3 linked regions of the Nothobranchius furzeri genome follow. The protein of the gene in region 2 purifies or fractionates together with the protein of the main gene of each other region. This does not show direct contact. Links are inferred from orthologs where the notes say so. Each region holds a gene or a part of one and is shown on either strand. Other genes may lie near its edges. The genes, in order: nop10, H/ACA ribonucleoprotein complex non-core subunit NAF1 and nhp2.

Region 1 (3,661 bases), on a different chromosome or scaffold from region 2:
AAAGTTAGAGTCTGCTGTGAGGTTTTCTGTTCCTATCTGTGTTTTCAGGGGACATTTTAAAAGGAAACACATGTGAAGGAAGGTTTTGGCATGAAAACCTGTGCAGAACCAACCCTCTCTCAGACTTAGGAGGCTGCTTTTAAGTACCAGAAAAAAATAAACAAAGACAACAAGACTGAAGCAACAAGTACTTTGTAACACCGCACACTCGGCTAAGGTTGCAAATATCTCCTCTGACTTGGTTCTTTAATTGGTTCTTATATTAATTTAAAACAGCAATTTGAACATATTTGTTTCACTAGATAGGCTTAATGAAGAAAAATAAGTGTTCTCAGTGGAAAAAGATGTACCGGTAATAATTTAATGAATGAATTTTCATGGACTTACCTTTCTCGTTTGACATGAGTAGTTTATGGTGAATGCTGCAAAAACAGATTCCAACTTTATGTCTGTTTGAAAGTAAACATCATTATTGTTTAATTTTGAATGTGAGCTTTTGGATTTCATAATTCTGGAAGAACTGGATTTAAAGAGCAAGTCAACCCGTACCAGATTCTAACTCCACTCCCACTTCATGTTTGAAAAATGCAACAAATGCTGTTGCCTGGCAGACCGAGAGGGCGGAGCTGCTAACAAATACACAAACACACAGGCATTGTGACATCATAACGTACCAGTTTACATCATAGCATACCTCTTAGCCAATAGCGGTGGCAGATTTAAATTAGAATACAGTGCAGAATTTTTACCTGACAACGGCACAACACTGACAGTTTTAGGCAGAATATCTAAATTTTAACTAAGATGCACTGAAGTGCCAAATTATTGACGGCACATGTCTGCAGCACGATTAGACACTCGTTTATTTAGTTTATCAGCAAAAAAAGTTTATTTGGGGGTGACTTGTTCTTTAAATAGTTTTTATATTTTATTTGTTTTATAGCACAGCAGAATTTTCATGCAGATGTTCAAGAATGTGTTTGGTTGTTTTGGTTAAAAACACATTGTGTTTTGTTTTGAAATTGGACCAGTAAAAGTTACTCTGTTACTGATTCAGCTAAGGGCCAAAATACTTTATTTGTTCTCGGAAGAAAATTAAATGTTGTAAATCGATATTCAGAAACAATAATTATAACAATCTAATAAATATTGTTATAATAATAATCATCTCATATAATTCAAGATTCTTCAAAGAGTTGTTATAGATGCTGGTGGGTCTGTAAAACGTTGAGAGGTGGTTAGAATAAAGCATAAAAGTTCTGAAAATGCACTTTTATTAGTGTGTGATATTCAAAAGAGCCTAATTTGCGAGTAAACTCAGTTCCCCATGATTCCAAGCGGCCTGATCATTAAACCGGATATCCGACTAGAAAGTTCGTTGCACGTGGATCCACGTTTTCTAGCTTCCTAAAATAAAGTTGGATTTTTTAAAACTTATAAAGCTTCATATCAAGACTTTTCGTCATGTTTTTGCAGTTTTATCTTAACGAGTCTGGAGACAGAGTATATACTCTGAAGGTAATTTGTGTGTGTTGTTCGTAACATGTCTTCTCTCCTATCAGTTTCACGTTTTAGCTCATTACATTTAAATTTATTTTGTTGGAAAACGAAAAGTAACATCACGTGGCTTCTATTAAAACATAAAGGAGCAAGTCAAACCAAAAAAATCTCAAGATGTGTTATTCGTGTTGTTTTCACGTTAGCCTCACATGTAGCTAACATTGATAGCAACTAGTATCTAACATGGATAGCAGCTGAGCTAACAAAGCATGGCAATGCCGCTTTATTTATAAAGGCTACTTCATACCAGGCAATTCAAAGTGCTTTCCATGTGCAGCCAGCAAAATAGCGGCGAACATGGACAGTTGCAATTAGTGGCTAACGTGGAAAGCTTGTAGCGAACCAGTATAAACACAAATAGTTATATCCCAGATCGCCTTTGTGTGTTTTTGGACAAACACATTTGATTTTAGCTTCTGATTTATACCATATAAAAATCCTTTGCTTTTAATACGTCAATAACCGAAACGTAACAGTTTAAATTAATACGTCAATAACCGAAACGTAACATAGTTTAGTGAAAAATGCGTAAAATTTAGTTTTTACGCATGAAATAAAAAACTCTTTACATGTTTTAAAAGCTGATTGTACTTGCAACTGAATAGGTTATTACTGTAAATCAGAGTAGTGTTACAAGAAAATGAATCAAACATATGTTAGTGAGGGTTTATTTTATTGTATACCATAATAGCCATCATATTCTAAAAGGTGAATTTAGGTGTTACACTTAATTTCATCCACGTATCTTATTTCGTTGGTGAAATGTAAAAAAAAAAAGCTGACATATGCCTTTATTTTTCAAATCAGTGTTCTTCCCTAATGCACACATATTTCCCTTCATCTTTGCCTCCAACAGAAGGCATCTCCTGATGGGCAGCCCACCAGCTCTGCCCATCCGGCTCGTTTCTCTCCGGATGACAAGTTTTCCAGACACCGAGTGCAGCTGAAGAAACGCTTTGGCATTCTGCTCACCCAGCAGCCCAGGCCAGTCCTGTGAGGGAGCTGGAAAGAGTGGAGTGAGGAGGCATGGATGGATGAAGAGCTGAAGATGGCAACATGGATTTTGAAAGGACACTTGGTGTGTTGGACTTGCTGGTTTGGATCGATTACATGAGGTCTTTAGATTTTAGTAGAGGTTATTGTCATTTTTTATGCTTAAAAATGTTTGATGAATTTTCTTGAATACTGTTTGAATTCAGGATTTGATGGCTAATTCTCCTTTATTGCATACATTTAAACAAGTAAGGTATACTTGACATTGTCTGCAGTAAAATAATACTATGTTAGCTCCTATAACCTCTATTTGTATGCCAGTTTTATTTTGGGGGGGACGACGACATATAAGAAAATTTGAGTAGAAATAACATTTATTGTGAATATAAACTAGAATTTGAAATATAAGGTGTTTACTATTCAGTCATGGTGTGTAATTTATGAGCTGCAGACAGTTTCCCAGAGGTATTTTTGTTTGTGCTAAATGAATCTTGACTATTCACAAAACACTCAGTCAGTGACTGTTGAATGTCATGTTTTGGTTTCAGTAACATCTTGGACTAACTGAAAAGACAAAATGAACAGTAAAATAATTAACACCCTCAAAGCACACTTGTTATTTTGATCCATGTACTCAAAATACCCAGTGAGTGTTAAAATGTTGTGTTTTTAATGAAAAATTGCATCATTTTTTTCAACCTTTATTTTTTCCAGATAGTGTTTGATAATATTCTCATTTACAAACATCACCTGTCCGAGGTAATTTTGAGGTGCAGCGGAAAAACATTAGCTCATTTCAGCTATGTTGCTTTTTCTTAATATTGTTTAATTCGAACTTTATGAGCTAATATTTGCTAATTTATCAGTTTGAACATTTTAATGTGAAAATCTATTTCCGCGTGTTTTATGTTCAATATGAACTCATCCTTCTTGATGCAAACTGGTTTTGTGCTAAACTCAGGAAACTTGCTAAATTGTTGGAATAAAATAACGTAAACAACTTGTTTACGTAAAGACCACATCTCCCCTCACTATTGTCACTGAGTAAAACGACGCATGCGCAAACTTGCAACGGCAAGGGAACTAGGACCTGACGGGCTCACTTGCG
Region 2 (4,177 bases):
ACAAAACTCAACTTTGAATAAAATTGCTGCTGCGTGGCTGCAGCATGACCCAAGTCTGGAACATCAAAATGACAGAATTAAACAAATTTATACGCTTTATTTCATGCTTCAAATTAACATTTCATTCTAATTCATCTGTATTTTCCCACTGCATATTAGTATAAACTGTATTTCTCTAAAATTAACACGATTGTACTCTGAGCACGCTAAAAAAAGAAACCTATGCTATACTCACCCTGCCATGCAGGTACAGTTGGCTGTGAAGACGTAGTTCTCTGGTTTGTTTACTATGACCCAAGCCTCGTACATAGCAGTCTTGTGTCCTTGTCTTTGGCTAGGAAGGACTTCTGCCTTCAAGATGCAAAACTCAGAGTCTATGTCGTGATATTTTACTTTCTGTACGTGGCCACAGACAACATAGTTGTATGCATCTAACGATTTGTATGCCTGTAGCTTCTCACGTGTGTACTTACTGGGCCTCTCCACTAAAAATGTATACATATCGGGCCACTGGATTTCTGGCCACGCACCTACATCTTCCACCCATTCCGTAATGCCACAGGGATCCGGGAGTCTGTTGCCATTCGTTAAAGTGAGTTTAATAATATAACATTCAAGATTTGCCGGTGATTACCCCGCAGCGTAGCTTGATAAAGCCTGAAACAACGCCATTCTCTGTTGCCAAGCTGCGCGCGCATTCGCGCTGATGTCATATTGTTTACAAACAGTAAAAGGGTCTATACATGACAGGATACCCCAGAACAGCGCTACACCCTCTGTTGTCCTGGCGGGGAATTGCTTTGTAACGCTCCCCGGGAGACGGAGAAGTCCGAAGGCAAAATGTCTCCATCAATAGGCATGTTTCCATTACCAGAAGTCCAGGCTAGTTCCTGAGACGGGGAACTTGACCAGGGGACAGGACGTCCCAGTCCTCTCAGCTGTTGTGTCTCTATTCAAATCCAGCCCTTTCAGAAGTCGCACAGACGTCAGCGTATCACTGTTTGGCAGTGAGTGATGTCACTGATCAGCCCCAAAAAGCGCCCAAAGTAACATGAATAATATTGAAAGCATTTATTTTATAGAATACATCATAATTTAATCCATTCAGAGGACGAGAGCAGCTCTGAGTTTTGTGAGACAAGCCCCGTTAACTAAGTCTGTGGGGGAATTCCACCGAGTTCTCCGGTGTCGGGAGTTAGATTTTAAATGCGATCGGTGCTCTTTTTTGCTTCCATTTTGCTTCACCAGCTGCTTTTCTAATTTTACTGCTGCCGGTTGTTTTGGACGTCTGCTGATATCATTTCCAAATGAGTTACAACCAATCAGTGTGAGTTAACCGGAGGTTCCGCTCAGCTACTCCACCGGGCCGTTCGAGGTACCTACTCCAGAGCAGGTACTCAGATGGTTCCTGAAAACGGTCCGAAAAATGGCCGTTCGGACGGCCCGGTCAGGTGGAGCCGCGCGCACGTCGGCAGGTTCCTGTAAATCTACCCTGAAGTTCTTGTAGTGTAAACACATCGATTGTGGGTGCGTCTCTGCCTCGTGGAGCTGAAGCAGAAGCATAAACTGGGCTTAATGAGACTTCAACAATGTGGGACAGAAGACCTCAGCTGGACCAAAACAAACAAACCAACCTCCAGCAAGACCTCATCTCTGGTTCTGAGAGGCACTGGTTGGCTGAAACCTCCATCTTCTTCCACATCAACATCAACCACCAGGGCAGAAAGGGCAGAGGAAGACGAAGATGAAGAGGAGGAGGAACTGTCACCAAACAAAGGAAATAAGGAGCATCAGCACATCTGTTTACTGTTGCGTTATGTAGTACACAGAGGGAATGATGCTAAACGAGTGATGTGTGTGTTTGTGTGCGCGCACCTGTCTGAATCTTCATCACAGTCTCTAGACTCACAAACAGCACCCACTGGCTCCTGGGTTTGGTCACCTCCTGCTTCTTCTTCATGGGTTTGAATGCTGGCTGCTATGGGGTCATCTGGGGTCACAGGACTATTTACCCACGTCTCACACACACTTTCCTGAGTGTGAGCGGAAATTTGTCCAGGTGTCTCACACACACTTTCCTGAGTGTGAGCGAAACTTTGTCCAGGAGTCTCACACACACTTAACTGAGTGTGAGCGGGACCTGGTCCTGCTGTCTCACACACACTTTCCTGAGTGTGAGCGAAACTTTGTCCAGGAGTCTCACACACACTTAACTGAGTGTGAGCGGGACCTGGTCCTGCTGTCTCACACACGCTTTCCACAGGCAGTGCTGCTGATGCAGTGTCCTCTCTGCACATGTGAGTTCCTGCTGCCATTGCAACATGTGGAGACACGATGAGGCTTTCTAACTGTGTTGCCATGGTGATGTCCATCTCCTCCTGCTCTCCCAGTGCTGGTTTCTGCTCATGCTGTTCTGCATGGCTTTGGTCCATCTTAGCTATGTTAAACTGTCACAACCAGATAATTAAGAACACACACAAACAGAATAATAAACAGATATCATTATGCTGCATCATAAAGCGATCACCGTCGGTTCATTAAAAAAAAGTAATTCTGACACTCGGAAGCAACCATGAAAGCTAACCAACAGCGAAATCAACAACATCTAAATAATACTTAAACCTAGACGTCTGAGACTTCTCTAAAAATCTGGCCGAAAAGCCAGCAACCTCACATAAAGGAACACGACAAACACGCTAGCATCCACGTTTAGCTCGAGCGACGAATGGCTAATGCTGAGCGAGCACGAACACGCAGTTAACGTCACCAAAAGCAGTTTAAACGTGTAAGAAAAACTTTAGCATTACCTGTTTGATGAGTGAATTTCCGGAAGAACCCTTGAAAACTCCTACGGCTTCCGTAGAATCACAGGACACTTCCTTAACTTTCTTTCAAAATAAAAGCTTAACGCAAAGCGGACTTCAATTTGTGGACTTAATCTAGACGTAATCAACTGTGAAATCGGTGTCCAAATAAAGTTTTTTGTTCTTTAGTTTAAGCTGTACTAATATCGTCAAATATCACTACAGCCCAGTGTAGCTCAGTTCACAATTTTTATTTTAAAGCATTCTAACACAGTCAAGGTAAAAATATTAGGTTATTTTTATTGACCCAAAACATGCTATAGTATCACATTTTTTTGAAATACAGTTTTTACTATACTACAAAGAGGACAGAGATTTAAAAGAAAAGTTTTTGATCCAAACCTCCCCTTTCAACCGAGTCCAAGCCGAGCCAAGTGTTTGAAATCTTTTATTTTGAAAGCAGGAGAGTCTTCCGCTACATAGGAATTTCTAATGGTGATGAAGTGAACGCAGCACGTGTTACTCCGCACGAGGAGTTCTATTTTTCCGGGTATGCGCAAGAGAGCTGCGCGGTTCATTAAGACGAAGCATGTGCGGGGTTGTGGTCCAGAAAGCGTCCAAGGTTCAAGCGTACGTAGACGCCCCAGAGAGAGTGTAACCTTAAATATGTATATAAATACTCAGAACTATAGAAATAAACAATGCTCTGTCTATAGCTCTGTAAACACTAGATGCCTCGTCCCCGCTGTTCACCAATGGGATGCGACGTAGGAACGTGGCGGCCATCTTACCTCAGTCAGCTGTCCCCTTTCTTGACATTGGGGTGTATGGTGCATGTACTATTTAAACGACTCTAACTTGCTCAATTTTTGAACTGATTTTCAAAACGTTTGATTTGTTATAAACGCCAGAGATGTGTCTATGAAATAGGATGGGGTTGACCCCAAAATGCCTGTTATTTCACTCCACAAAGCATTTAATCTTTCATAGATAACACATTTAATTGTAAGTTACAGTAAATTAAAGTATACATAGCCTATTATATTATATAGATCTATCTATAGCAATATATATATTCCTGGTTTGTGAAATAGGACTTGTTTAGAGATGAGATTTCAAGGTTCTTTTGAGGTAAAGCCCACATTAACAGAACAGATCCAAAATGTGCAGCCCAACAAAAAAGACAACCGACACCCAAATCATCTCTGTCAGCCAGAACCAGCCCGCCAGCAGTAAAATTTAACCCAGCAAATTATTTTGTTTTTTCACTATTTCTTAACTTTTGTTAAGAGAGCTCTTTGGAAATACTTTCTGAAAAAGTTAGGAAATTGTTGGATTGAGTGTCTACAGGTGTAAGTTATAATGAATGAACT
Region 3 (4,434 bases), on a different chromosome or scaffold from region 2:
ACATCACCGGGAGCGTTTCTCCCTTCATTAAGGAGCTTCTTTCAGACATGAGGAGAGCTGTTTTGGTGGTAACGGTCTCTCCTCCATGCTGGTCTGTTTGCTGCTGGGTGTTTTTGGTTTATTTAAACTTGGTAACTTGAACTTAACGTTGGTAAAGCTACTGTTAGCATCTTCGCTAACAGCTTCTTGCGTTGGGATAAGCTGTTACGTTTTGGTTTAGAGTTCATCTTTTTTTGTGGTGCAGATCTCCCTTTTATTACATTTAGAGTGTTGTGGGTTTTCGGTTTAGTGTAAAATATCACCTGAGTTTGGTTTAACCCGTAAGACCACTCGCCTCACGCACATAAGTGACCAAAACAAAGCAGCATGGAGACACTCCATCTTCTACCACCTCTCAGGCAGCAGCCTGCACTCCCAAGTTCTACACGTCACCAGAACATAACCAACCAACACAATAAAAGCATGGAAGGCCTGTAGTGTTTATTCTCTTACAGTAAGAATTTATCAATTTTTTTGAGGAATTTATTTGAGATTTTCTGGTTTTTGTTAATTGTGCAATAGAAAAATAATCATTAGATTAATTTTCTAAATAGTCATTAGAATAGTCGACTATTCGATAAAATAATCATCAGAATAATCGTTTTAAAAATAATCGTTTACCCCCAGCCCTACTAAACCGGTTGTTTTCTACGCTTTACTAAGCACAGAGCAAGTGCTGTCACTATGAGTTGTTGACTCAGACTTTTCTTTCATTTATATGCTTTAAAAGCCAGTAGTTTAATTTTGTGATTTAATTGAAAGTTTTGTTTGTTCTTATTTGCATAAAAGACATTGTAATTATCGTTACTGTGTTCTTTATGTGACCGTGATTTCAGTCAAACTACAGCTGGTTATGTTTTCTTGGCTTTATTTTAAGCGAAAACAAGTACTGTAACTGAGTTTGTGACTCGGAGTTCTGTTAAAACCAGAGTTGGCTATGTTTTGCAGTTTCTATTATTTTCACTAAAAACCAGCAGTTAATCCTAATGTCATTTGACTTGTTTCAATAAAACTGTTGAAAATGCAGCGGCACTTTGTTTTAATAGGTAAATATGAGATACGGGGAAATGTACGGCCCGCTGGCAAAAGCCTCATGATAATTTGGCCCAACAAAAAATCTAACCGAGTAGCCCTGCGTTAAAAGCTGTACTCTGGCCCCATGCATGCGCGGGTTTCCTCCGGGTACTCCGGTTTCCCCCACAGATCACAACACGCCCTATAGGTTATAAATTGTAAGTCGCTTTGGATAAAAGCGTCTGCCAAATAAATAAACATAAACATACTTGTGACAAACGGGCAACTTTAAGGTCACGTGACCACCACTACTGCTCAGCAAAAACTACGTCCTCGAGACTGTAAACACCCAGACCCTGGAGCAGAACATGATAACAACATATAAATGATGAAAACTCAGCAACAGAGCTGAGGCGGACTTTCGGCATTGCCATGGAAACCTGTAAACACTCCAGCTATCCAGCTTTGATCAAACAGCTGGTGGCATGTTTTAGTTCTGATGTCTTTGTAGTCCTCGTAAATCTTCCTCTATCCAGATGAAGGACGAGGCTCTGTACCTTCTTCCATTCTCATTTATCTAGTATCGATTAACAGGGTCTGCCTGTGGGCCTTGCTTTAAATAGAGATGATTCCACTCGAGCATCGTTGGTGGTACGGAAGCATGGATTCATTATAGCGCTGACGTTCTGAGCTCACTACGTGGAACCCCCTCCCCCCGGTGTAGATGGACCAGATATGCACACGGCCCTGATTTAGATCAAAACCGTTGGATCATATATACACATATATCATATATAATAATAGTACTAGTAATAGTAGTAATAATAATAGTAATAATAACGTTTAACACAATCAGAATCTAAAAACCACGACACCAGCCCTTTACCTCATAGAATGTGTGTTTTACTTGAAGTCAAGGGTTAAAACTGACGTGTGAGAAATCTGAAATCCTGACAACACCTGCTGACCTTTGACCCCAGCTCCACTCACTCACCGTTTTAGAGGGCACGTAGGCGTACGGCAGGCTCCTGTCCTCACACATGATGGGCAGGTGACAGTACACGTCGATGGGCAGCGTGTCGCCCGCCAGGACCACGATGCTGCAGAGACCAGACCGGGTTCAGGTGAGCACAGGTGAGGTTCTAACGCGCGGATGACTACGGTGTCCTGAATGGTTCAATGCGCTAAAACTGAATAATGTTCACATTTAAATACATAAAAAAAAAATTAGTGCGGAACTTCTTCTGAGGGACAGAAAACAGTGACGGACCGGACCACTACAGTAATGGGGACTGAGGTTCTGGACGGACCCGGGCACCGTGAAGCTAACTCACCCTTTCTCTCCTTTCTTGATGAACTTCTGAACTTCTTTCACGCCCCTCCGGATGTTCTTCACCTTAGCAGCTGAAATCAAAACACCGGGTAAAGAAGCGGGACACAAGCACCGGTCTAACGGGTCTCGGTGGTCTTTTACCCTTTTTCACGCACTTGTAGAGCTTCTTGCTGAGCTTCCTGGAGGCCAGCGGCTGAGAGATCGGGTTCAGGTGGGAGACCAGCTCCTGGTAGGTCCTCTCGGAACCACCGGCCGATGCGACCGAATCATTTGGATCCGCGTTTTCCTTCTTCGTCTTCGTCATCTCTGATAATCAATAACCGATTGTTGCTTTCTGCTTTCACCCAGCACGCACGTGTTTTAACTCTTGTCCCGGACTAACAGGACCATTGGACCACAGCGCCCCCGGCGGCCAGGAGCGGAAATGTCGGCAAAGTCTACAGAGGGCCTGTAGACGCGCGCGCGCGTGTGTGTGCGTGTGCGTGTGTGTGTGTGTGTGTGTGTGTGTGTAGAAGAAGAAAGTATCATTTCTATAGCGCCTCTCAGGATGAAAATCACGAGGCGCTTCACAAAAAAAAGTGTAAAACATAAAAAAATAATTTAGAAAATGGTTAAAATATGTTTAAAATGAGCAAAAAATAGACAATTGTGATTAAAAAAATGTAAAGAAAGAGAGAGAGAGTGAATAGATAGGGAAAGATCCTGAGGAAGGTGGAATAGGTGGGGAGAGCAGAATAAAGAGAGTGGTGAAGAAGGTCACACAAAAGCCAGCCTGAACAAGGGCAACACCTCTGAAGATAAGAGTCAAGAGGTGCTTCACAAGAACAAAACTAAAACATGATTAAAAACACATAATAAATTGTGAAAATGGAAAATTTAACATAAAAATGAGAGGGAAGAAAGAAAACGAGTAAGAAGAGGTAGCAGCACCTGAACAGGTGAGCGTTCAGCTGCATTTTAAAGGAGACCACTGGATGTAAAACAGCTGGTGGTCTGTTTTAGTTCTGACATCTTTGTAGTCCTCAGAGACACAAATGTATGATTATTGCTCCGTCTGGGAGAAGAACGATGCTCTGTCCTCTTCTTCCATACTCATTTATCTGCAGTGATGTGACATTCACGAGCAAATCAAATCTTTTGGTTTTCAAAGTGAACAATGAGAGCCGAGTCTCTGTAGAGAGCCGTTCATCTTGTCTTCCAGTACCAAGCCTCCCCGGAGGTCGGCAAAGCGCACCCGCTCAACCCCCACCCAGCCCGTGACGGACGTGGACAGAACGCTACCCATCCCAACCACCGTGCGCCCTCACATAAAAACCTTTTCTTTGATCTCACTTCTGATTTAGTGGAATGTGTGTGAGAAAAATGTTACGAAGCATTTTAAAGATGCAACAAATTCCACACAGCAATAATTATTATCTGTAAAATGTTGCTAGTTAACTCATTAAAGAGCAAGTCACCCCCTACCAGAGGCTTACTCCACTCCCACTTCCTGTTTGAAAAGTGCAACAAATGCTGTTGCCTGGCAGAGTGAGAGGGTGGAGCCACTAACAAACACACAAACACACAGGCTCACAACAGCATTGTGACATCATATAGTACCAGCTTATGTCATAGTGTACCTCAGTGTGTCCCAACCCTGGTCCTCAGGGACAACTGTCCTGGATGTTGTCCATGTCTCTGCTTCAGCACACCTGATTTACATCGGCTCTTCAGAAGGACATCAAGTGCTGCAGATGCCCGTTAATCACTGCTTCATTTAAAGGCCCCTTGTGTGAAATTCACAGAAATCATAGTAAAAAGATCCGACTCTTTAGCACCACGCAGTTTAGAGTCGGTATTGCAGCTATTGGAGCCCCCGAGGATCAAAAAGGTTTTTTTAATCATTATTTAAAACTTTATTAACAAATATAACAAATACAATACAAAATCGTGTTGCTGTAAACGGCAGCATGTCATCATCTAATTCCAGCTTTCAAGTCAGCGAACAGGTTAGTTGTTTTCATCTAACTTATTTTATTAATTTAATCTAAATAGGTTTTGAATAAGAA

The links.
Region 1: the proteins of H/ACA ribonucleoprotein complex non-core subunit NAF1 (region 2) and nop10 purify together in Homo sapiens (co-immunoprecipitation; 6 studies listed by BioGRID and IntAct, with this or other methods). This does not show direct contact. The link is inferred for Nothobranchius furzeri from reciprocal best matches to the Homo sapiens genes NAF1 and NOP10.
Region 3: the proteins of H/ACA ribonucleoprotein complex non-core subunit NAF1 (region 2) and nhp2 purify together in Homo sapiens (affinity purification with western blotting; 3 studies listed by BioGRID and IntAct, with this or other methods). This does not show direct contact. The link is inferred for Nothobranchius furzeri from reciprocal best matches to the Homo sapiens genes NAF1 and NHP2.

What each region holds. Positions count from the first base shown.
Region 1 is NC_091742.1:80,334,311-80,337,971, forward strand, and holds nop10 (H/ACA ribonucleoprotein complex subunit 3), read left to right. Parts: upstream 1-1,336; 5' UTR 1,337-1,464; coding exon 1,465-1,518; intron 1,519-2,416; coding exon 2,417-2,557; 3' UTR 2,558-3,160; downstream 3,161-3,661. UniProt on the Homo sapiens protein: Required for ribosome biogenesis and telomere maintenance. Part of the H/ACA small nucleolar ribonucleoprotein (H/ACA snoRNP) complex, which catalyzes pseudouridylation of rRNA.
Region 2 is NC_091747.1:73,481,836-73,486,012, reverse strand, and holds the start of H/ACA ribonucleoprotein complex non-core subunit NAF1, read right to left. Parts: upstream 2,877-4,177; 5' UTR 2,808-2,876; intron 2,448-2,807; 5' UTR 2,433-2,447; coding exon 1,876-2,432; intron 1,762-1,875; coding exon 1,635-1,761; intron 1-1,634. UniProt on the Homo sapiens protein: RNA-binding protein required for the maturation of box H/ACA snoRNPs complex and ribosome biogenesis.
Region 3 is NC_091750.1:25,734,287-25,738,720, reverse strand, and holds the start of nhp2 (H/ACA ribonucleoprotein complex subunit 2-like protein), read right to left. Parts: upstream 2,804-4,434; 5' UTR 2,691-2,803; coding exon 2,528-2,690; intron 2,458-2,527; coding exon 2,388-2,457; intron 2,188-2,387; exon of another isoform or gene 2,154-2,187; coding exon 2,048-2,153; intron 1-2,047. UniProt on the Homo sapiens protein: Required for ribosome biogenesis and telomere maintenance. Part of the H/ACA small nucleolar ribonucleoprotein (H/ACA snoRNP) complex, which catalyzes pseudouridylation of rRNA.